2 linked regions of the Coturnix japonica genome follow. The protein of the gene in region 2 purifies or fractionates together with the protein of the main gene of each other region. This does not show direct contact. Links are inferred from orthologs where the notes say so. Each region holds a gene or a part of one and is shown on either strand. Other genes may lie near its edges.

Region 1 (11,466 bases), on a different chromosome or scaffold from region 2:
CACCCTCACACATTTCGGGTTGCATTTAGGAACAAAATTTTACACCAGAACTAGTTGGTTCTTTATTATGACGAGAAGCGTACTAGAAAAAGGAAGAGAAGCTACTCAGATTTCAGAGTACCCGTGGAAATGATTCGATCAGTATCTCACAACAAAAGAGCTGAAAGAGAAATCCATGTATTGATTAATTTCTGCCAACCAGAGCAGAGGAATAAAGACCTGAATCAAGGAATGATTGGATGTTGTATTGAGGGACATGGTTTAGTGGGAGCTATTGGTAATAGGTGAACAGTTGGATTGGATGATCTTTTAGGTCTTTTCCAACCTTGGTGATTCTATGAATTTTCAGATGTTCCCATAATAACATACTGCTGTGAAATAAGGCACAGCAGCTGAGATTTTTGTTTCCATGCTGCAGTTTTACAAAAGCCATCCTTCCCCTAAATACATTTTACAAGCTTATCCTCTTCAATTAAAAGAGAAACAACCAGAAGATTAATAACCGCTATACAAACTATGTATCATAATTAAGAATTAGCAAACTGCTGGGATTAAAAATTAGCTCATTTTGACTAATCAAATTCTGTTAACTCAAGACTAAACTCAAAGCAGTGAGAGTTCTCACTTGTTCACTGCAAGCTCAATTCTGTAGCACCTGAACTGTGTCCAACTGGTCACCTATTAATCTGGGGGTTCTCTGATTCTTTAACAGATCTAAACCTTAACACAGCACATAAACATACAGAAAGGATAAATGTCTTATCTTGAAAGTCTTCAGTGATTTTTAATGACTTGGAAGAAAACGCTGTATGTAAAATTAATACAGCTAGAGGAATAACCTTTTATCTCCAACCAAGCACTACCCAGCAACATAAACTCTTAATAAGAGATAAGCACAACTGCAGTTGCATGTGCTCAGAATGCAGGACAATTGTGCAATTGAAGATTTAGATCAACTAAACTGAGGCTGTCTCCTTTTTGTTTCTAAAGAAAGATCCTAATTAATCCTTTATTGTTAACCTATTTAAGTAACAGACCTAATTCACAGTAGCTTTATATGTACATTTCTATTGAACAGGAAGCCCTTTAGAAAGGAGGAGAAACATCTAGGGCTGCTATTCTGTAAAGCTGTGACTGTAGAAGCAATTTCTTCCAGGTTTGTGATATTAATAACTAAATACAACCGAGTACAGACTATTTTCCCTGAAATTAATAGCAGTACTTTAGAGCAAAACTTAACCAAAAAAGGCTTTATATTAAAATGGTTTTCTAATGCTAAACTTCTGCTATTTTGAAATTTGGGTAACATTTTGGGTAACAGGAAAAATTACGTTATCGAATAAATCAAACGTCTAATAGAAATTAAATTGACACTTTCTATAAACAAAATGATTTGAAGTATTTTGATAAGCAGTTCAGGTATAAAAAAAAAAGGAGCAACAAGCATTTAACATTGCATTTTAATAGAAATACAGCCCAAAGCCAACTGAGAAGAAGCTGGTTTACAGTCTTGCCAGATCACACATCCTCTCCTCTTGCCTCTAATATCTTTTTCTTTTAAATTAATATTTAAACCTATATTTCACTGGGTAAGCTTAGGGTGCCTTCAGCAACACACAAAGTACACTGCTATGGACCAGGTAATGTATAAGAGCTGTATGAAAATTCCCCTGGCCTACTGGGGCTCTGTCAGAAGAAAAAGTAAATTCCCATAAAGCCACCCCAAAACAGAGTAATTTTTTCAGATTCCAGGTCCAATTCTAACTGCAAGCAGGCAGTCTGTCAAGGAGCTAGCACATATAAGTCCCTTCATAAAGCAGCAGCTTACTTCTTCTCAGTAATTTCTACTGGAGCACGTCACAGGACTAAGATGTCCTGTCTTCAGATGCCTCCAGCTAGGATGGCAGGTCCTCCTTCCAAAGGCTGGCTCACTCCTGCCTTGTCCTACCCAATGCTACACTACTGTGTTTCGGATTCAATGAGTGCTACTGCAAAGCAAACAGTATCACCATTGTAACAGTGTTGTACAGAGGTATGAGCAAGCAAAATACACCACCAGGGTCCTGTTAGAGAAATGGAATTACTATCATTTACCTGACAAGGGCTGTTTTCAATGTACAGAAATGTTATCATCAGGCTTTGTCTTATTTTTTGCAATTATCAGTTCTGGCCCACAGTTTGACGTCAATTATTTTGACACCTTAATTTATGCAAGTTATCTTTTCCTAAAGTATTACAAAAGGCAATTATCTTTAGCTATACTAAGTCAATGCCTCATTTCCACAAAGTAACTATGTACACAGAAGGAGAAATGAGATCAAAGATAGGAATACGTTATGTTAATGCAAATTTAGCCTCTAGTATTCGACTTCTTGCATTCTGGGAGTTTAGAATGTAACAACAGCTACCCAAATCCATATGCAGCAAAAAACCACTTCATATCCCATTATCCCAAAGGACCATCTATCTACTCTTGTATCTCGTCTCTAAACAGGCAGCTGTTTGAGGAGAAAACAGTGCATGTAAACGTGGGACTTTCCCTAGGCACTCTCCACAATTCAAGCAGTCTGTTGAATAAGGCCTTCCTTATAATATTTGCTCAGGGAAAGGATCATTTCAGCATAAATACAGTGCTTATAAATACATATCAGACTAACATACAGACTACAAAGAAATGGAGGAGCAACAACTCCCTGAAAGAACATGGAACACTTTGTATTACAGCCTTCTGTGCCACAGTCTATCCAACGTCTGAACGCTTATCACTAGCAACATCAGAAAGAAATGTTCAGATGACTTCTAAGACACATTACTCAAACATTATTTTCTTTACAGCTGAGCTTCACGTGGCATTCAGTGCAGCTATTTTTAGAGCCCGTTCCTAAGGAAAAAAATGCAAAAATTAACGTGCCTATCCACTTGTCCTAGCACCTTTTCGAAAGATGGTTCTCCCCTCATCGTTCCTTTGCACATCAATCTGGAGAGCTGCAATCACATTAAAATTCTGGCTCTACTAATCCGCTCAGACAAGATATGGCGTTTGCTATGATCAAAGAGACAGCTGCAACAAGCTCAGTGCTGTGAATGTGGCATTCAGTCCTTCATCTTAGGGCTGGCTTTCTATGGTACATCTGTGGGCTTCACTTGAAGCCTTTTATCTATTACCTCTTGCAATCCGCTATTAGAGGTAGCGCATTGTGAGACCAAATGTTATGTGGAGATGGGAGAAGGAGGTTGGGTCATTTCTGACAGATTCTTGGGGAAAAAAAAGTGTGTGCGTGTAGTTAACGTGTGTAATTATACCTAGAAGAATCCAATTAGGGCATAATTATAGGATTATGGCACAGCAACTTTGTAATTGCTGCACAGCTATTAAAGAGAACTAGTTCACATACTGACTTCAGGTAACCTCCGTGCTTCATTACATTGTTATTTATTTAATAAGCCAGTCCTAGAAATTTTACTAAACGGGATAAAAGACATCTGTGGTTACACACACACACACCCCTTCCTGGACTCCTGCTCCTTTGAAGTAAAGTGGCTGAGAGCCATGTTCTACACTTAGCAATTAACTTCCTATGCTAGAAAAGCATCTCATATGAGGAATTACGCTATCTGTGGCAACCTGTGAGTGTCCCTTCCTCACCAAGCCCACGAGGACTATTGCACACTGATTCTGAAACACTCAGCCCACAACAGATGAAGGACAATCCGACCCACTGGGAATTGGAATTTAAACTTGGCATCGCCAGCTGGGCAACAACTGGTGCCACACTGTGGCTCAGCCAGCGTTAACCACCCCTTGTTTCCTTGGCAGGCTGTCAGGACGCCTGCTAGGGAACCTCGTGCCAACTTCTTCCACACCGTGTTAGGATGCTGAAGCAGTGTCCCTCCTAGGACACCCGTCATCCAAAAACGGCATGAGGTCTTTGATAAAATCATCAAGCTTTCACTTGGCCAAGATGAAGTGAAACCATCTCCTGTCAGATCAGTCAGCTGCTGCCTATCAAATTCCCAGTAGCGTATCATAGCCAGGGCATTATTTTTCTCACTTTTCTACTATTTTGGAGACACAAGTGATAGGAAAAATAGCAACAATAAACACATTTCCAGAAACATAAGAAGCCAGATCCTAAATATAAGTGCACTGTTTGTTATTTACGGCCCTAGGAAATTTTTGTAAATAAAAGTTTATCTTCTTAGGAAAAGAAGAAAACAAAACACCACTGGTAAATTCAACTAAAGCCAGCTTCTCACTCGCTGAAGGCTATCACTTAAACCCTGCCTCAAATGAAAGGTGATCGCACAAGTTCTGCAACACCAGACAGACCACTTTACAACAGTTAGCACAAACTCATTCGTTGACTGCCAGAGGCTGAAAACTGAACAGGTGCAGCGCTACAAAAGAAATGATCAAAGGTAAACGTTCTTCTGTGATTCAATACTTGACTGTTACCATCGGGCTCCCTAACATATATCTCAGTTACTAAGGAAGTAGGGTGGGGGAAGGTAGAAGCAGAGGAAAAAGGATCCCAGAACTCTTCCCTATAGGACAGCGTGAGCCAAATGCTGGTAAAGGAAGGAAGGATGGTAGTAGTTGCTTTATGCTGGTGGTGTTCTGTTTCATAAGGGAGAAAAAATAATAATTATATATATATATGCATATATATATCTCCCATCTGGAGGCCTACTGTCACAAGTACAGTATTAGCTAAAGGTATGGAACCTGTCTGGTGTTTTTGCAACTGCCTGCAAGCATCGGACAGCACAGCAGGTAAATAATCTCACTGCCTCCTCTCTCTCTCTTAAAATACTTTCAGAAATCAATGATGTGATAAGGCTTCAAATTCCCTGTCGTTCCTTTAAACAGCATTACTACACTTTAATTTTAAGAAGCTTGTATATTGGTGTGGGTCCGAGTTACAGAAAAACAGTCAAGTGCAGAACAGTCAACCATTTTGATACTGAATGGCTACATATTTATTCAAACTGAATTTCTTCTGCTGTGCTATAACTGGGAGCCCGTGTCCTACTTCATTTGACTTAAGTGAGGAAAACCTCAGTTTCGCACTCAAATAAGAGGGCACTGACAAAATTCCTGTGGGAAAACAAAGCAAAAATGGGCTCATCTGAAGCTATCGCTGCTTCTGAGAGAGAAATGAAGTACAGGAGCATTGTGACATATAAATTAACATGCACAGAAGGAGGAAAAAAAATAATCATCGATTCCAAGAAAGATTTTTCCCCAGCAACACCAAGAGCCTTCCAAACCTTATTCGACAGCCTTCAAAAGTCCTGCAGCTTCATCTCTCTGGGCAATTCCATTACATCTACATGGATGTGGTGGATTTAAGAGGAAACAAAAAGAACAAAACTTTCACTCGGCCATTTAAACAATCGGTACTTTGATTCGCTTGGAAAGAAGCCACAGCGTTAAACCTCACAGGGCTATAAAGCAACTCTGCGCAAACATAAAATATTTAAGATTTACTCAAAGTGACCCAAATCAATATTCAGGTTTTACCGTGCCTTCGGTACAACCGCAAGTGATCACTTTTGGCTGTGCGTTTTCAGAGGCACTTGAAGGCCTATTTTTAAGCAACCCACTGCCCAGAGGCAGCATCTAACAACGCCGCAGCGCTGTACCTTCAGCGCTACCGATGTGACAGAACACTTTAGAGCTCCGCTCCCTATTCTCCCTTTTAATTACCCCCTGCACGCTGCGCTCCCAGCAACAAGCTCTACCCTATTTCTACTTCACGTCGCAGAAAAGTTATGCGAAGACGGAAATAAGACGCCTTAATTGGGGTTTCTTCACATGCAAAAAGCGGACATCCACAGCATGAAAAACCTCGTATTCACCGAGTATTTCGCAATCATTTGTCAGCGGTGACAATACATATAGCACAAAGCGCAGGACCTATTTTTCCGCCCCGCTTTACCACTCCCGAAGGATGCAATTAAAAACCTCGAGCACAGACACATGGAAACAAAAGCACCTGGCGGCACCGCTCGCAGCTCCTCACGCTCTTCCTGTTGTGCTCGCCGACATCCCTCGCTCCCCCTCCGGCTGCGAGGCTCGGCCGCTGACAGCGGGCGGACAGCAGCCGAGACCCGGCCCGCCGCCCTCCCCTCTCCGCCGGGCCCAGTGTTTCGCGCAGGGCCGCGGCCTCCTCCCTCCTCCCTCGATGGCGAACAGCGACGCCGCGGGACTTGGGCTCCAGCGCGGACAGGAGGGCGGCACCCGCCGGTCCTCGCCCGCCGCAGGGCCGCGGCAGGCCCGCTCCGCCCGCCGGCCTTTTGTTTGGGGCCGGCGCCTACCGCCCGGCCAGGCCTCGGCTCCCTCCCCGATCCCGATCCCGGGGCGGCCGCTGTCAGCGCTGACCGCCCACCCAAGCCGGGACTCACCCGCCGGGCCGGGCCGGCTCGCGCCGCTCCGCCGCCACCTGCCGCCGCCTCCGCGGGACGCTCCGACGTCACGGCCGGAGCAGAGCGGGGGAGGCCGCGCCACCGTGACGCCGCGGATCGGGAGGAGCCACAACCGGCTCCGCCGCTGGGGGCCGCGCTCGGGTGACGCCATGGTGCCGCGCCGCCACACCCCGCGCTCGTGATGCCGCCATGGCGACGGGGCCTGGAGCGCACCATCCGCTTTTGGGGGTTCGGTGTCTCCGTCGAACGGAGATTACAGGAAAATAAAGCACCCTGAATGAAGTGTTCTCAGTAATAAATAAACCCGCGTCTGTGTTCCGGGGTCTGACAGTTTAGTTCGACCGAGAAAATGCAGTAGTGAACGTATGGTTTCATTTTACGCTCGGTGAAGAAATGGTTAAAGGCAATATCAGGTTGTGCCGAAGCTGGTAACCGAAGAATGGTACCTGCAATAACATCGGCCTTCATTGCCAGCTTTAATTTCAGTCTAAATGCATGTTGTGTTCGCATCTTTGTGCTGGCTCCTGCAGCACATCGCCCCACGTCCAGCAGTGGTTTCCTTAACGTGCATTAGCTGTACCTGTCTATTGCAACTGAAAGCACCACCACTCTGTCTGCCTCTGCTTCCTTCGTAGCTCCGTGCCCTCCTTTGTTTCTCTTTGTTACCATTGCCTACAGCGTCGTCAATCTGGAATTCATGTCTGATACTTGCCACTACATTTTTAATGTGCACAGCGGCTTGAAAAGTAAAGATTCACCAGACTAGTCCTGAGAAGACACCTCCTCCCCTGGCAAGAGTCTGCACCCCCACTATTAATATTCTGCTGATGCTTTGGCAACTGAGAGCTATTAATCATGTTTCAGTCCTTCTATTTATAAAGACCTTTCTTCTGCTTCTTTAGATGTGTATGATACTATGTAAACCCTTGGAGACATGCAGGTATACTATGAGCTCAACCCCTGCTTGTGACATAGCTGGGGGAAGATAGGAGAAAACAGTCTCCTGCTGTGGCTTGAGTCTGTATCAAAATAGATTTTGGAGAAGCTCCAAGCTTCTCCAGGTCACAATAGAAGCAAAAGAGTAGGTGATTTGTGAATCACAGAATCACACAATGGCGTGGGATGGAAGAGACCTCAAAACCCACACAATCACAGCCCCCTGCCATGGGCAGTGCTGCCACCCACCAGATCAGGCTGTCCAATGGCCCCATCCAACCTGTCCTTGAGCACCTCCAGGGGTGGGGCATAAATGGGATAGGATATGGAATCGTTTCCCCTTTTCCTCACACCTACAACTTCAGCCACCCCTCTGAACAGAATGAGAAGTTGTGAATCCACCAATATGGCACTAGAGTGACAAGTGTGCCCCTGGTTCCTCTGTGCGGGCAGCCAGAGGAGGGGCTGAGGAGTGAGTTCCAAAGTGAAAACATTAAAAGCAAATATCCTGACAGTGTTTTGATGACACATTTGTTCCATGAAACCCTGTTGCTTGTAGCTCACTGTGTTCCTATCCTCTCAGCTGTTGTAGAGCTCCCCCCACGCGGCTCTAACATTTTCATTAAAGTGATATGTTGTTGCCATCACCAAAGGCTGGCTGGGGTATGGAAAATCTCAAATCTTCCTTTTTAAAAGTTAAATATGTTGTTTCTACAGTACTTGACACAAGATTGTCCTGTGAGTACTGTCACAGCAGTATGGTGGGCCAGAATGACAGTCACTGAGACAAACATACATCTGCATCAGCTCCCCAGAAGTGCAGTTGTTATGGTGAAGTGCAAGGCCTGGCTGGCTGCAAGGTGATCAGCAGCCCTCCAAAGCCTAGGCTTGGGCTTACAACTTTGGTTTTCATTTTGAAGAAATAAATAAATAAATAAATAAATAAATAAATAAATGAGAAATAAAAACAATGAAGAAAAACAACAAAAATCCACAACTACTGCCTTGTAATATAGTGCACTGAAATCCTTTATTTTCCTTACTGCAGTTTCCCAGAATTGAAACTTACTTCAACATCTTCATCACTGACCTGACAGAAATCAGTAAGTTTCTTGACAATATGTGGCAGGAAGGAGACGCTGACACACCAGAAGGCTGTGCTGCCATTTAGTGAGATCTGGACAGTCTGGAGAGTTGGACAGAGAGGAACCTGATGGGGTTCGACAGGGGCAAGTGCAGTCCTACACCTGGGGAGGAATAACCACATAGGAATAACCACATACATCAACACAGGTTAAGGGCTGGCCTGCTGGAAAAGAGCTCTGCAGAGAAAAACTTGGGTGTCCTTATGGACAACAGGTTGGCCATGAGCAAGTAGTGCATCCTTGTGGCCGTGAAGGCCAGTGTTTTACAGAGTGCATTAAAAAGGGTGTGGCCAGCAGGTTGTCAGAGGTGATCCTCTCATTCTGCTCTGCCCTGGTGAGGCCACATCTGAAGAACTGTGTCCAGTTTTGGGCCCCCTGTTTCAAGAAGGACAGGGATCTCCTAGAGGGAGTCCAGGAGAGGGCTACAAAGATGATGAGGGGCCTGGAGCATTGTTCTTATGAGGAGAGGCTGAGAAATTTTCAGAAATTACATCTTCTTGTAAACTAGCTGGAGTCACAAGACCTTCGATGAAAAACTATTAGAGCTAGAGCTATTATGCCTACATTTTATTTTAATGGAAAGAAAGCAAAATATCACAAATGTGCTGCAGTGATCATCATCTTTCATTTAATGAAATGGAAATTGCAGTTTCCTTTTGTATCACTAGGTGGTATATGGTAACTGTGGGGAAACTGTGTTCTTCAAACTGTGTTGGTTGAATAGAGGTATTTCTCTCCCAGTCCAGCTAATGTACTGAGCAGATTCCTGGACTGCAGACTAAATGTGTGCAAAACTATTCCTGACAAGAACTAAAACTTGTACCAAACAGTGGCTGTAAGAAGGAGCTTCTTTTTATGACTTCACTAGTCTTTTCTCCACAAAGAAGGAAAAGAAGACAGAGTTGTTATGATAAAATATGAGAAGGAAATGAATGTCAATCAGTGCTTAAAATAATGCCACCACATTAACCGTTGTGCCATTTTTGTCATTATTACCTCTGTGAGACACTCAAGATGGGACTGTTAAATTAAGGCTGATGTTGCAGATGGAAACTATGAAATATCACCAGCTTTCACATTTGTTTTATAGTGTTCTCGGAGAGTATAACAGTGTAGAGCAGAAAAGTGTGTTTCTTAGTGGCATGAACTCTGAGCCGACAGGATCTCATTGAGGATTTGAGGCATCCATAGTGCTTACGGGATGGTTAGTATAGCTTGCAAAAACACTATTTTAATATTAAAAAAGAATAGAGTTAAAGGCTCATCATTCTGATAACCACACAGCTCCAACACAGTACTTACACCAACCTTTCATTTATGCTTGTAAGTAGCCTCACTCAATCCAGCAGGATAGATTGCCCAGTGGATATCTGTGTGCTTCACTGCTGCTGCCTTGCAATCCCCTTACACTGGTCCAGGTCATATACAAAGGTTTCTATGTCCTCTTCTTCCTACAAAAGAGGACAAGAAATGATCTGAAAGCAATCGAGTATTTCTAAACATTGTGTCGATCTCCCCCAGTGGAAAAGAAGGACAAAACGACATGCTGGTTGAATTCTCTGACAAACTACTTTAAAAATATAATGATCAGGCTCCTCCACTACCACCATTTATCAGGAAGAGGTACTTCAGCAGAAGATAAATGATTTGCAATCTCAAGTGAAGGAATGCATTTTCTGCAGCCCAGAGTGCAATGCCCTTTCTCGCTGTCTGCTTAGTGCCTTAATGTCGGCCACTTCCTGCTCATCATGTTAGTTCTAGTGGTCCTAATTGTACTGATTGAGTGTGAGTCAGTTTTGTGGGTTTCAAAGAACGACAAAAATTAGCTGCAACAATACCATACTGCTCTCTGGACCCAAAGGAAGATGGTAAGCAAAAAGCAGAATGCTGAGAGGAAAAGTTCACAAAAACATTACTGTGCCTTTGGGACCCAGACTTCAGAGGGTACAGCTTTCTAATCTCTGCTCTGGCATGAGCTTTCCCAAATCATAAGTAAATTTAGCTTTCTGTGAGATGGATTTTAACATTTACCTGTCTCATGGGGGCCTCATTTGGGTTTGTTAGTTAAAATCCTTTGAAGATGGAAAGAATAAAATGGTAGCATTCTGCTGACGTCATCGTCCTCTCCAGGCTCCAAAGCGTCATCAGGGAATGCTCTGAGGAAAGCAGTTGTTTCTCAGTTGTGGTTACTTACATTTATACTTTACCGTGTATGCTTGAGCTTGTAACTGCTTGGATTTCCTTTATGGCATTTTTTTGTCATTTCTTCATTTTCTGGTAATGCTGCCCTGGAAGTTAGTCCACCTGGGAGCTGGACTTCTTCCCATCAGTTCATAATTATTGTTTTCACTGGATGTAGAGGGAGATGAAGAGTCATATGGGAGAGCTTTCTGATGTGTGAATTAGATTCACACATCTGGAATATTAGATTGGAGGTTGTTTGTGGTTTAGATCTGATTTATTAATCCTGAAAAGCTTTTGATGTTTTCATGCATCATTAATATGGGAGAATATGTATTGTTTCAAAAGGTTCAGGTAAGCAGATTAGGCATTGTGTTCTTTTATTCCAAGTTCTCGCATGAGCTGCATATAATAAAGAGTTCTAATTATGGGGAGCATTAAATGCTGGGATTAAGAGTAATAAAATAATGGTGTTCCTGTCTCTTGGCTTATGGCAGTGCCGCCAAAGGCCACGTGGGGTTGATATTGCAAGCGGATGAGGAGCCTCAGTTCACCACTCCACCTGGTTTAGAGTAGCATGTTACTATGAGCTCAGTTCTGGCCTCTGTTCCTCTGGTTAGCACTCTCCTCCAGAATTTATTTTTTTGCTGTCAGTTAATTCTTTCAGATGTATGATGGTCACTTCTGCCACTGCTGTCATTCTCTCTCCAAGGAAGTTGTGGTGGGGCTCTTTAAATTCAGGCAAAAAGTACAAGTTTTCCAATAACTCTGAAAC
Region 2 (10,971 bases):
CCTCATTCCTACTGCTCCTGTTAACACTGTAGTGCTCACAGAAAACAGTTCATTGGACCAGATACCCAACAGGAAATACAATTGCAGCTTGGCAGTTAAGACTCAATGAGTGGCTAAGCACATCTTTTGTCTAGTACCATAAGTAAAGATTCACTTTACGACTGGCCTGTGAAGTAGAAACAAACAATAAAAATTGTCTGTTTATATTTACTACAATATATGATTCTTTCAATAATTTTAAACTTATTTTCTTCTAAACCTGAGATTGGTGGAGACTGAGATCACCAGGTAGAAAACCTGAGCAGCATCTAACAGCACCCACTCAGCTGCTTTAATGTTCATTATTTACTGTGACAGATGAGAATGAACATAGTTCAGAAGTCCTACTGTGGCACAGACTCTTGCAGGGAACATATTGAAGCCCTTGGTTTAACGTGTATCATATGTTATCTTCAAGATTAACACAATTCAAATAAGGCAATTCAGTTAACATTTTAAAAGTTCACATACTTTTTCTCTGGGGTGCAGGCTATGATTCTGGGCCACAATTTATGCTGTAATATTCAATTGAGAGCAGCAGTACTTACTTGATGGTATAAAACCATTTAGCTTCTAAAACAAGAGTTAAAAACAGAAAGCACATTTATGAGAGGAAAGCTTCCTTGCAAGCAGAAAATTCTGCAACTTCAACTCGATAGCTAACATACAGCAAGTACAATCTATCAACTTTTAAGTTTCTAAAAAGAACGAAAAATTTGCAAATGTAATCAGTCTATTAGTCTAAACTGTGGTTAATTAATATTATCCAATCTAATTTATTTTCTTCAAAGACTAACCTTTACTAGAAGCTCTGTTACTTCATAATGACCATAGGAACAGGCATTGTGAAGCGGCACCAGATCTCTACACAAGAGAGAAGAGAGAAATTATGTTAGTGCTCCTAAAATCTAAAAAATTGCTTATAATACTAAGCTGCACCTTAAACATTAAAAAAAACCAACAAAACAACAACCAACATCAGTATCTGAGCTGTTCAAATGAAAATGAGGGGAAATGAGAAGCTGGAGCCCATATAAACTGATCAGCTTTTTTCAGAACAACAAACATATAAGTTAACAAGAAGGTGAGAAATGAATAGCACTGTCTTAATGTAATTGAAGTGCTTCTCTAAGACTTGGAACCTTAATCAGGAAGAAGTAAAAGCAATAACTGTCTAGGATGACAGTCATTACTTCCTTTTTCACAAGAACATTGGTATAAAATTATCTTCTCCCTTGGATACCAGAGGAGTTTTACTGGTACTATTTAAGTAACTGTACATTATTCCACAGTAACAGCAGAGCTAGTTCTATAGCCTGTTTCATATTCTACCAAGCTGAATGGTCTTAGGAGCCAGTGAGAAATTATCTGAAGCATGCTCTTGAGCTGTGGGCTAGTAAGGGAGAAATGACAAAAGTGGATTTCAACACTGAATGGACAAAGTTGCCTGATCAGACAGCTATCTACATAGCAGTGATAAAAGGATGGACAAGGGTTTGCTTTCCATAATCTTTAATATAGAAAGTATACATATAATGAAAAGCATATTTTAAAAATATTCTATGCAACCATAAAAAAACTCAGCACATTCATATTTCAGTACATGTTCTGATATAACAACCAAATGCTTAAACACATGGTCCTCAGATAACTCTGAAGAACAGATCTTCAATTTTTCATCACTTTCCAAAAAAGTCGAGAAACTTACAAGTAGAAATAAAATTAAGACTAGGCCATTACTATATTTACTGACTCCCCAGAGACTTACTGAAGTACTTTCTTAAACAAAAACAAGTTGGCTAGCGATACCTGAAAGGCGACGTATTTTATGGTAAGTTCTGGATTCTTCTGCTTCACAATATTTAAGACTGTCTGCATAGTATTTTTGTCATGACAGAAAGATTTGTTGTCTCAGCTCAGAAAATCTTAATAATTAAAACAGTCTTACTATCCCTCACCTCAACTTTGAACATTTTCCATTTCTTCTGAACAAAAGAAAAATGAACCTACCCCTTATCCTTAGCGTGCACATCAGCACCATGTTGCAGTAACAGCTGTACTATTTTTACACGGTTGTACCCAGCTGCTAAATGTAGAGGAGTGGACTGAAATGACAGAACATAGCAGAAATCAGCAACACAAAACCAGCATTTAGCCTTATTCTTTTTTTTCCCCCCCAAAAAACTTGTTAACAGAACTAATTACTGAAGTACTCAAAACACCTGTAACACTAAACAAAACCCAGAGAGTTTGAATCAGATGCACAATAACTAAATTTATCTCTTACTGGCTACTTTTACAGACATAATTAACACAAATCCTGAATCTGCTTTATTTCTAATAAGTTCTGGGATGAAGGACCTCTTGACAGATTTTTTGAGTTCTGCAATTCATTTCTGTATTTTAGACTGCCATATCTCTAATAACTTTGCCAGGACAAACAAGCTGCTTGCAAAAGGGGAACCAAGACAGCCAGCACAAGCTATGACTGCTAAATTATAAATAGCTTATGACAAACAACAAAGAGTTTAAATTGGATTTTTAAAGAAAAATACCTTTCTGCCGTCACTTGCATGACAGTTAACATTCAATGGTGTAAGAAGAGACATCATCTTTTCTTCATTTCCACTCCTGTAAAATAAGATATGAAATAGGCAGAACTCTTCTATTAGCGGCTTATGGTCTCATACTTTCCCTTGCTATGACGTTCTGGAAATCTGTTCTGAAGTTATATGTTTGTTTATTCATTTATTTCAACACTAAAGTCAAAGCAAACAAAAAAGTGTTTATGTAGTTATATTTTGTTGTTTTATTTACAGAAACAGCCAAAGCTTACTACCTAGATGGAATGTCAGCCCACGGATGTATATTTTCATTACACAGAAAACCCCTGTAGAGTTCTAAAAATGTAGCTAAGTTCCAGATGTGTTCTTAAAAACGCATACCTGGCACTTTCTAAGAGCTCATCTTTCTTGTATTCACCTGGAAGATAAAAGAGAGTTTCTAAAGTTATTAAATAAATATGCATATATTTAAGTTCATGAGTTAAAGCTTGCAATTTATCATCCTCTTTCAAAGCTGCAGGGAGCTAAGCACTAAAAATTTGACAAGTTATTTTCAAACTGTTATAACAAAGTATTTATCCAAAACACATCCTGTCAATGACACAATAAAGCCATACAGTGAATTTCTACCTTGAATTCTAAAACAGAAATGAGTTAAAGTAACTGAGGGGGAAAAAAAAAACACCACACAAATGCTGTATTACAATAATAGGAGTGTTATTAGCTAATGTAATCTAAAGATCATCACATACCAGTCAGCACTGCTTTTGCAGATGGATCTGCTAAATCCAAAGCTGTTCTTCCATCTGTGTTCCGGATGGTCGGTTCAGCACCATGCTGCAGCAATACTTCAAAACGCAAGAGTATTTCATGAGAAAACAATTGGACAAGACAAGACTTATGAGACAATGTAAGCAGCAAGCAACAACAAAAAGCTATTACTGTTCCCAACTTCCCCTTTCAATCTTTTGATGTCAGAATTCCTGAATGGCACCTGTGATCTAGTGAAACACATGAGGAAAAAAAAACAAAACCAAACAGAAGTGGAACAATCAGAAACAAGCAGGCAGCAATTGCAGTGAAAACCTGAGACTGACATATGCCCTAAAACCAGCGGCTCCTTCTCAACTGGTCCAGAGCACACTGCCTCAAAACTACAGCTGACTGTCCTCTAAATGGTACACAGTGGTAGCAAGCCATGTATCTTCACAGACCTTGCACTGATACCGGGGCCAAACTGGCCATGTTTATATTTACTGCTCTCCAGATGTGCTCTTGAATAAAGTGGAGGAAGCCACCTATAGCCAAACCTCAACCTCTCTTAGCCCCTCCTCTCTCTTAAGAATTGCATAGTCAATATATGTAACTATATTGACATGCTCAACTTACTAAAACTTACTTTATATCCTCAGCTAATTTAACATGACTGCCATGAAAACACAGAAATAATTTATTATTAGAAAGTTTTGTTATTTCTAGTGCACTATGACTAGTCACAGTAGAAGTGCAAGAAAATTACCAATGCAGACATCTGTCTTGCCCTTAATGGCTGCTTCATGAAGGGGAGTGTAATTCCAATTGTCGCGAGCATTAGGATCTGCACCGTGCCGCAGGAGGAGATTGACAACTTCGGCATGACCAAAAGAGCAAGCATTGTGAAGTGGGATAAGGCCTCCATCATCTCGTGCGTGGACATTGGCACCGCTCTGCAGTAAGTATTCGACTACATCCTTCCGACCAAAACCTGGAAGAGAAACAGCTTTGTCTCATGTGCAGGGGATGAAAGAAAGGTGTAGGGGAAGACAAATATCTGACCCTCATACTCATACTGGAACAAGACATTTAAATGACAGCAATCAGTCAGAATAAAAATCTCAGCTGGTGTTCCTTACTAAAGGAAGGTTATTTTCAAAAATACCCACAATTATTATATTAAAATCAGTAGGAAAGTAATATTCAAGATCACTAAAACAATGAATATCTTGGTAGGGCTCCCACGATCAACAGCTTCTTGAACACATAACAAAAGGACAGACTACCAACAACAAATCCTCTTTTTCAGTCATTTTATGTGGCCATTAAACTAACACTATCTTGCATGATACTCTGCTACAGGAGGACCAACAGATGAGCTCAGGGAGCAGGAGTGGTGAGCGACTATAAACCAGGGCATGCACAAGTTATATTAAGTAAAAATAAACAAATCATATAGCATAGTATGAAAATTATTTCATATAACTTGATTGTTAAAACAAGCAGCGTTACTCTCAGGTTAAAACAAGAAGTATGGCTGTCTGCTCTCTAAGGGTTCATTAGCACAATGAGCACACTGTGACATCCTTGAAGCTCTCTCTTAAGAAAAACCTTTGGAACGTAAAACATTTATCTGAGAGCATTTATGATGAGCATGCACAGCCATAATTCAAAGATAGCCAGAAAGTCTACTTTCAGTGATTCCCTGCGTGACTGTAAGAACTTAGTCTGAAGCACAGAAATGCTCTTACACCTTCAAAGGAAACTTTACATTCACGTCATTCATGTTAGTGTACAACAAAAACCTGTGCCCATCTGTGGTTAGCAATGCATCAGAAGTAAAGTGATGGGCTCTTTAAAGCTAATTCTACAGCTTCTACTGTTTAACTTCAGCTGTATCTTGCACATTTATGTAATGGCACAAACACCAGTATCTCAAACTACTGCCAATTGTGTCCATGCTTTCTCTAGGACTTTTGCATGAGGACACAGTGACTGAGGACTGCTGCTTCTGTGCCTACACAGAGACACACTAAGGGACACAGCCTATAAAATTCCCTCAAAGGCTTCATGAAGACCCATCTGAATCTCAGTTATTAGGAAAGGTGAGAGCTGTATGTTTGTGTATGTGTACCAAGCACCTGCTCGGTAATGACCCCTTATGCACAGGGCTTGGCCTTCCGTTAAACACCCGTGGTGCAAACCATTTTCAAGGGAAAACTGAGAATTGTGTGGGATGAAGCCTCCACATGGGAGCCTTTCCCTCAGCCCAGATCACTGTGTGATTGCAAACAGCAGCGCACTCAGAGCCAGCAGGTTTTAATCTTTGTTACAACCCAACCTGCCTGGCCTCAGCAGGCAGCCAGGAGTCAAGGCAATCTGAACCTAAAATGGTATTTTTTCCTGACAACTGCACAGCGTTCCAGTGACAGAACTGCAGAAGCACGAGATGCGCCAGCATTTTATTCACAACAAAACTTTTCAGTTTTCGTTTCATCACAACTGAAGTTTCTCATACCACGTTCCTCACTAAACCTGACTTCAGTGTCTCTTTCTCCCAGACAGACAGTAAACAGAAGCCTGGAGCCCCATGAGGAAAGCAGAGAGACCTGAGGCTCTTCACCCTGGACAAGAGAAGACTCAGAGATCTTATCAACACTTACAATTACATAAGGGCAGGAGTTGAGTCAATGGGGGCTGGGCTCTTCCCAGCAGTGCCCAGTGACAAGGAGCAATGGGCACAAATTGGAACACAGGAAGTTCTGCATGAACATGAGGAAAAACCTCCTTACTGTGAGGGTGACAGAGCACTGCAACAGGCTGCCCAGAGAAGTAGTGGATGCTCCTTCCCTGCATATACTCGATACCCACCTGGACAAACATGTTTATTCAAACCTTAGTTTGCTAGCACCTTTGCGAGAGCAATCTCTATAGAACTATATGTCAAAAATCAGTTCCTGTACAACATATACCTGAAGAGCCACGCTGTCTACATATTACATCATATCCTGCATATTTCACATTCTTCCACTTATTTTTTCTTGCATCTCTAAAACTTGCAGAAATTCTGCTTCTAGGGTGAATGCATAACCACGACTTGCTAAATTCTTACAGGATCTGTTCAAACGAGACTTTTCATGAGTCCCTCAGTCCTGTGAACATATCAAACCTGCTGCTATTTGACAGCAGACTGCTTGGCATCTGCTTTTGGTACCATAAAATGTTTTCCAGAAACTACTTTACCAGTTGTGTTAGAAAAGCCTCTGATCCAGCTTTCTGCCTCAGTTATGGATCTGATGGATAAACATCACTCATTCTTGCATAGAAGGCATCACTGTCCATCAAAACTTTGCCGTGTGCTCACAGTTCTGAACACAGAAAACCAATGTGAGCGTCAATCCATACCAGTACAGCTAGTGAGCTGTGGCAAGCCTCACTATAGGTGTAGAGAATTCACTCTGTGGCCCTCCAGTCAGTATGTGGGTTCAATCAAACACAGTTCCTACATCAGCTTCTCTCAGGGCAAAGCCAGCCCAGCTGGGAAATACGCCCCTACTGGGGGGATAACAACACCCCCAAACCACCCACCGTTATGGTAGAGTGGAGACAGAGGATCATCTGCATCAGACCAGCTTCTGGAACTTGGTTTCAGCACAAAGTGTGCTGCAGGGGCTCCCCACAGCCTTGTGGGAGCATCCCTACCAGAAGGCACAGCATACTGAAGCATTTCCTATGGGAGTACGTGTGCAGAGGAGGGGGTCAGGCTCTGTGCAATCACCTTTCTTATTCCTATTGCATGCTCAAGGAACACAGCCCTTACTGGCACACACTCCGCAGTGACTCCCCCTTTGCTAGTAGCCCACTGCTGCAAGAATGGCTTCAATATTCATCTATTCTAAAGCTTTTCTTTTTAGCTCTCAAGTTTCCATCAGAAGACCAACTAAATATTATTGCAGCTCAAAGCAATGCAAGATAGCTGGTCCCACCAGCACACTTCATTTCTTACTGCAAAGCAGCAGAGCTACTACTCAGGACACAGAGAGAAAAGAAAAAAAAAAAAAAAAAAAAGAGCATTTGCGTTAGTTTGTTTCCTTTTTCTGTTACATTGATATTTAAAGGAAAAGAAAAAGGAACCGGGTTCAGGACCCAGAGTGTCCCTGAAAGAGAAAAATGGCAACACAAAAACGATCTTCATGTTTCAGCGCCACCTCTTCACAAAACAAAGCCTCGTAAGTGAATGAAACTAGTCAGAGAAGTTTTGTAACATTTTTTCTAAGAACATGAACCTGGGCTAAACAAAGCCAGAATACAAGACTTTTGCTTTTGCTTCCTGGAATGTAATTCCTTCAGGCAACAGAGACAAAAGAAGCTGGTATTACTCAAACTGAAAATAACATGGAAAAAGCAAAACAAACAAAAATATTCCTAACCTCCAACCCAAGGAGCTGCTTATGGCCAACTTGCAAGCTGAGCCTACTGCAGGTAGAGCCCTTTTTGCTGTCAGCCCATCTGAAGCAGTGGAAGCGCATTGCATCAAGACATTACACGTGCATTTTACATCCTGCCTTAGCCAGAAACTTTTTGTACATCCTACAGTCCTATGAGAAACACATTTAAATTCTCTGCATTCAGATTGAAAGGGATAGAAGCAAGGACAAAAGCACTTACTCACACTTTTGCCTTTCTTTGCCTATTTAATGAAAAAAAAAGAAGTTTTCAGTAAGTTAGAAGTTCTGGTTTATAAAGCCAAGACAGATCAGCCCTGTCCAGAGAGGCAAACTAGGTCACTGCCTATGCCCTCAGGCACAAAACAAAAATAAGCAATAAAAACCAACCAACAAGCAACCTAACAACCCACATCTACAAAATGCTGTTAAACAGTCTCATTTATTTAGAAGTTTATGAGCTATGAGGCAGGGCTGGGGTTTATGAAAAAATAGCTGCAAAACTCCCTTCCTCTGACAGGATGCTTTATGTTGTCCCCTGGGCTTTCCTGCTGATCGAGTTTCCTAAATCTGCAAATCACAGCTGTCCTGAAAAAGTAGCTCTCAGGAACTCAAATCCATTAAAGCTACTGAATGAGAGAAAATGACATATTAATTAGAAACCTCTTCTAAAATAATTCACTGGGGGAACAAACTTCGTTATTAGTTATACGCACTTTCTAGCTGAAAGCTGCTGCCCCTTGCCTACCCCAGGGCCCTGCCGCTAAGGCTGCAATCCAACCAGAGAAACAACACGAAAACAACAGCCACAATCGTGTCTTTGTCTGAAAAGGTGGTATACAGTCTTCCGGCCAGCCACCAGAGACAGCAGTTGTTCTGTGATGTCAGCTATTTGCCTAAGTGCCAAATTAACAAAGTCTATTTGTTAACGACACAAATGCAAAAAAAAAAAACAACTTCGGAACCGTGCTGTCGGTCGGGCACCATCCGTGGGAGAAAGGCTCAGCGAGCTGGGCTGCAGAGGGACTAGGAGCACTACGGGGACACTCGGAGCTGACCGAGCCCACAGGCCGCTGCAGAGCCATCACTCGGTGCTGCAGAGCCATCACTCGGTGCTGCAGAGCCATCACTCGGTGCTGCAGCCCCACGGCCGGGCCGTTTCATTTACTCGTGAAACGCGAGAGGCCTCCGGCCCCACCGAGCCCGGCAGCCGGACAGCGGGGACAAGGCCTCGCCCCCACAGCAGCGACTACGGCCTTAGGCCGCCCCACCGCCCGGCCCGAACGTGCTCGGCGCTTCGGGGAGGCGGCGATGCGCGGCCCGGCCACCCTCGGCCCTCCCCCGGCGCCGCAGACTCGGCAGCGCGGCCGTAGGCCGTACCTGCGGCGAAGTGCAGCGGGCTGGACTTCCTGCCCGCCGTGTCGCGGCTGTTCACGTTCTCGGGCCGCACCAGCCGCTTGACCCGCTCCACGTCCCCGTTCCTGCAGGCCTCGAACAGCTCCCGGGCGGGCTCCACCGCCGCGCCGCAGCCCGGAGCCTCGGCCAAGGCGGCCGCGCCGCCCGCGCACCGCCGCGCCGCCATGCCGGGCCGAGCCCCACGGAGCCGGCCGAGCGGCCCTCGCTGACCCGCTCACAGCCCGCGGCCCCGCGCGGCGGCAGCCCCGGACTCGCTCCGCTGTGCAGGGCGCTGTGCAGGGCGCTGGGCCCGGCGCATCGCGGCGGAGGGATCCAGGCGGAACGGCCGCGATACCGCAGCCAGCAGCTGCCTCGATGCAGCCAGGAAGGGGTCGGCCGGACACGGCGCGCATGCGGCACACGTGGGGTCGGGAGGCGGAGCGGAGCCGCGGGGCCGGGCTGCTGCTGCGGGATGAGGGTGGTCTGTGGTTCCACAGCTGTAGAAGCGATCCCGTGCTACTTAATGAATTATCCATTAGGATGTGCTAATAAAGGACTTTTTTTTTCCCCCTCCCCAGAAACGTTAAGCATTCTGGTGCTAAGAACTTCCTGATGCAATTAAAATAAAAAATCCTAAAGTAGTTATTTACATATCAAAACATGTTACTCAAAAATACGTGTTTGCATACTTAGGAAATGGGAATGATAGAAATTAAACTGTTTGCTTTATCCTGAAAAAAAAGAGGGAGGGAGTGAGGCCCTGGCACTGCTGCCCAGCGAGCTGTGTGTGCCCCAGCAATGGGCTGGATGGGGCCCTGACCCAGCCCACAGCAGGGGTTAGAGCTGCGAGGGTTTTGAGGTCATTTCCAATTCAAGCTATTATATGATTAAATTATATGATTATATTATATTACTGTGATTCTATGACTGCCAGTTCAAGGATTTGAAGAAGAATGGAGAGAATCTTTTTCTTTTAATCCTAACAAGCCTGATGGGGAAGTCTGAGCTTAGATGGGACTAACTAGAATAGGATTAATTTGGTAATTTTGAAATGTATTTTTCCACTCGTGCTATAATCTTTCAAAAACACTTTGGAAAAGGTAGTTGATAGGGGCCAGGAGCTTCCTGTTCCACAGGCAGGAAGGATAAATGCCTCCAAACTCACTGAACTTGCAGGCTATTGTTACAGCAGTAAATTAGACTGCCCGAGAGCCAGGAAAGGGATCTAGCTGCTAATCTGTGCCATTCAGTCACTTCCATTCTGTTAAACACCACTCCACTCTGCAATAAGGTAGCTAAGCCCAAACTGCCTGTCCCTGCTAAGGTCTAAATTGCACCTAGGATTTTTTATGGGGAGAGTACCAGCTGCCCAGGCCACAACTGTGCTGCAGGAACAGGTCAAGGTCCAGTGCCCCTGGCTGTGTCATTTAACCCAGAAATAGGCACGCAGCCAACAGAACTGTGACCAGAGGATGCAGCCAGCACAGAGACAGCAAGCACACACTGTGACAAACAGCCTCGTGTCATTCCATTGGCTTTCTTCCCCATGCAAGCTGTGCTCAGTAGGCAGGAAAATGTCAGGCCATGGCTACTGTTCCTCCTCAGCTTGTCACACACATAATTCATCTGCTGCTACACGTGCGGCCATAACGCTCTGGCACAAACTGTCACAGATATGGTGTGTGGGCCTGAAACCATCTCAGAGCTTCCCAATGGCTCCTCTGCAGTGCTGTGATTTGTGTCCTTTAACACCAGCTAGACGAACAGGGCTGAAA

The links.
Region 1: the proteins of TNKS2 (region 2) and RNF146 purify together in Homo sapiens (co-immunoprecipitation; 3 studies listed by BioGRID and IntAct, with this or other methods). This does not show direct contact. The link is inferred for Coturnix japonica from reciprocal best matches to the Homo sapiens genes TNKS2 and RNF146.

Annotation. Positions count from the first base shown.
Region 1 is NC_029518.1:53,753,472-53,764,937, forward strand, and holds the start of RNF146 (E3 ubiquitin-protein ligase RNF146), read right to left. Parts: upstream 6,530-11,466; 5' UTR 6,409-6,529; intron 6,328-6,408; exon of another isoform or gene 6,000-6,327; intron 1-5,999. UniProt on the Homo sapiens protein: E3 ubiquitin-protein ligase that specifically binds poly-ADP-ribosylated (PARsylated) proteins and mediates their ubiquitination and subsequent degradation. May regulate many important biological processes, such as cell survival and DNA damage response.
Region 2 is NC_029521.1:17,300,082-17,311,052, reverse strand, and holds the start of TNKS2 (poly [ADP-ribose] polymerase tankyrase-2), read right to left. Parts: upstream 9,595-10,971; 5' UTR 9,384-9,594; coding exon 9,182-9,383; intron 4,348-9,181; coding exon 4,123-4,347; intron 3,452-4,122; coding exon 3,356-3,451; intron 3,022-3,355; coding exon 2,985-3,021; intron 2,671-2,984; coding exon 2,595-2,670; intron 2,145-2,594; coding exon 2,050-2,144; intron 904-2,049; coding exon 837-903; intron 1-836. UniProt on the Homo sapiens protein: Poly-ADP-ribosyltransferase involved in various processes such as Wnt signaling pathway, telomere length and vesicle trafficking.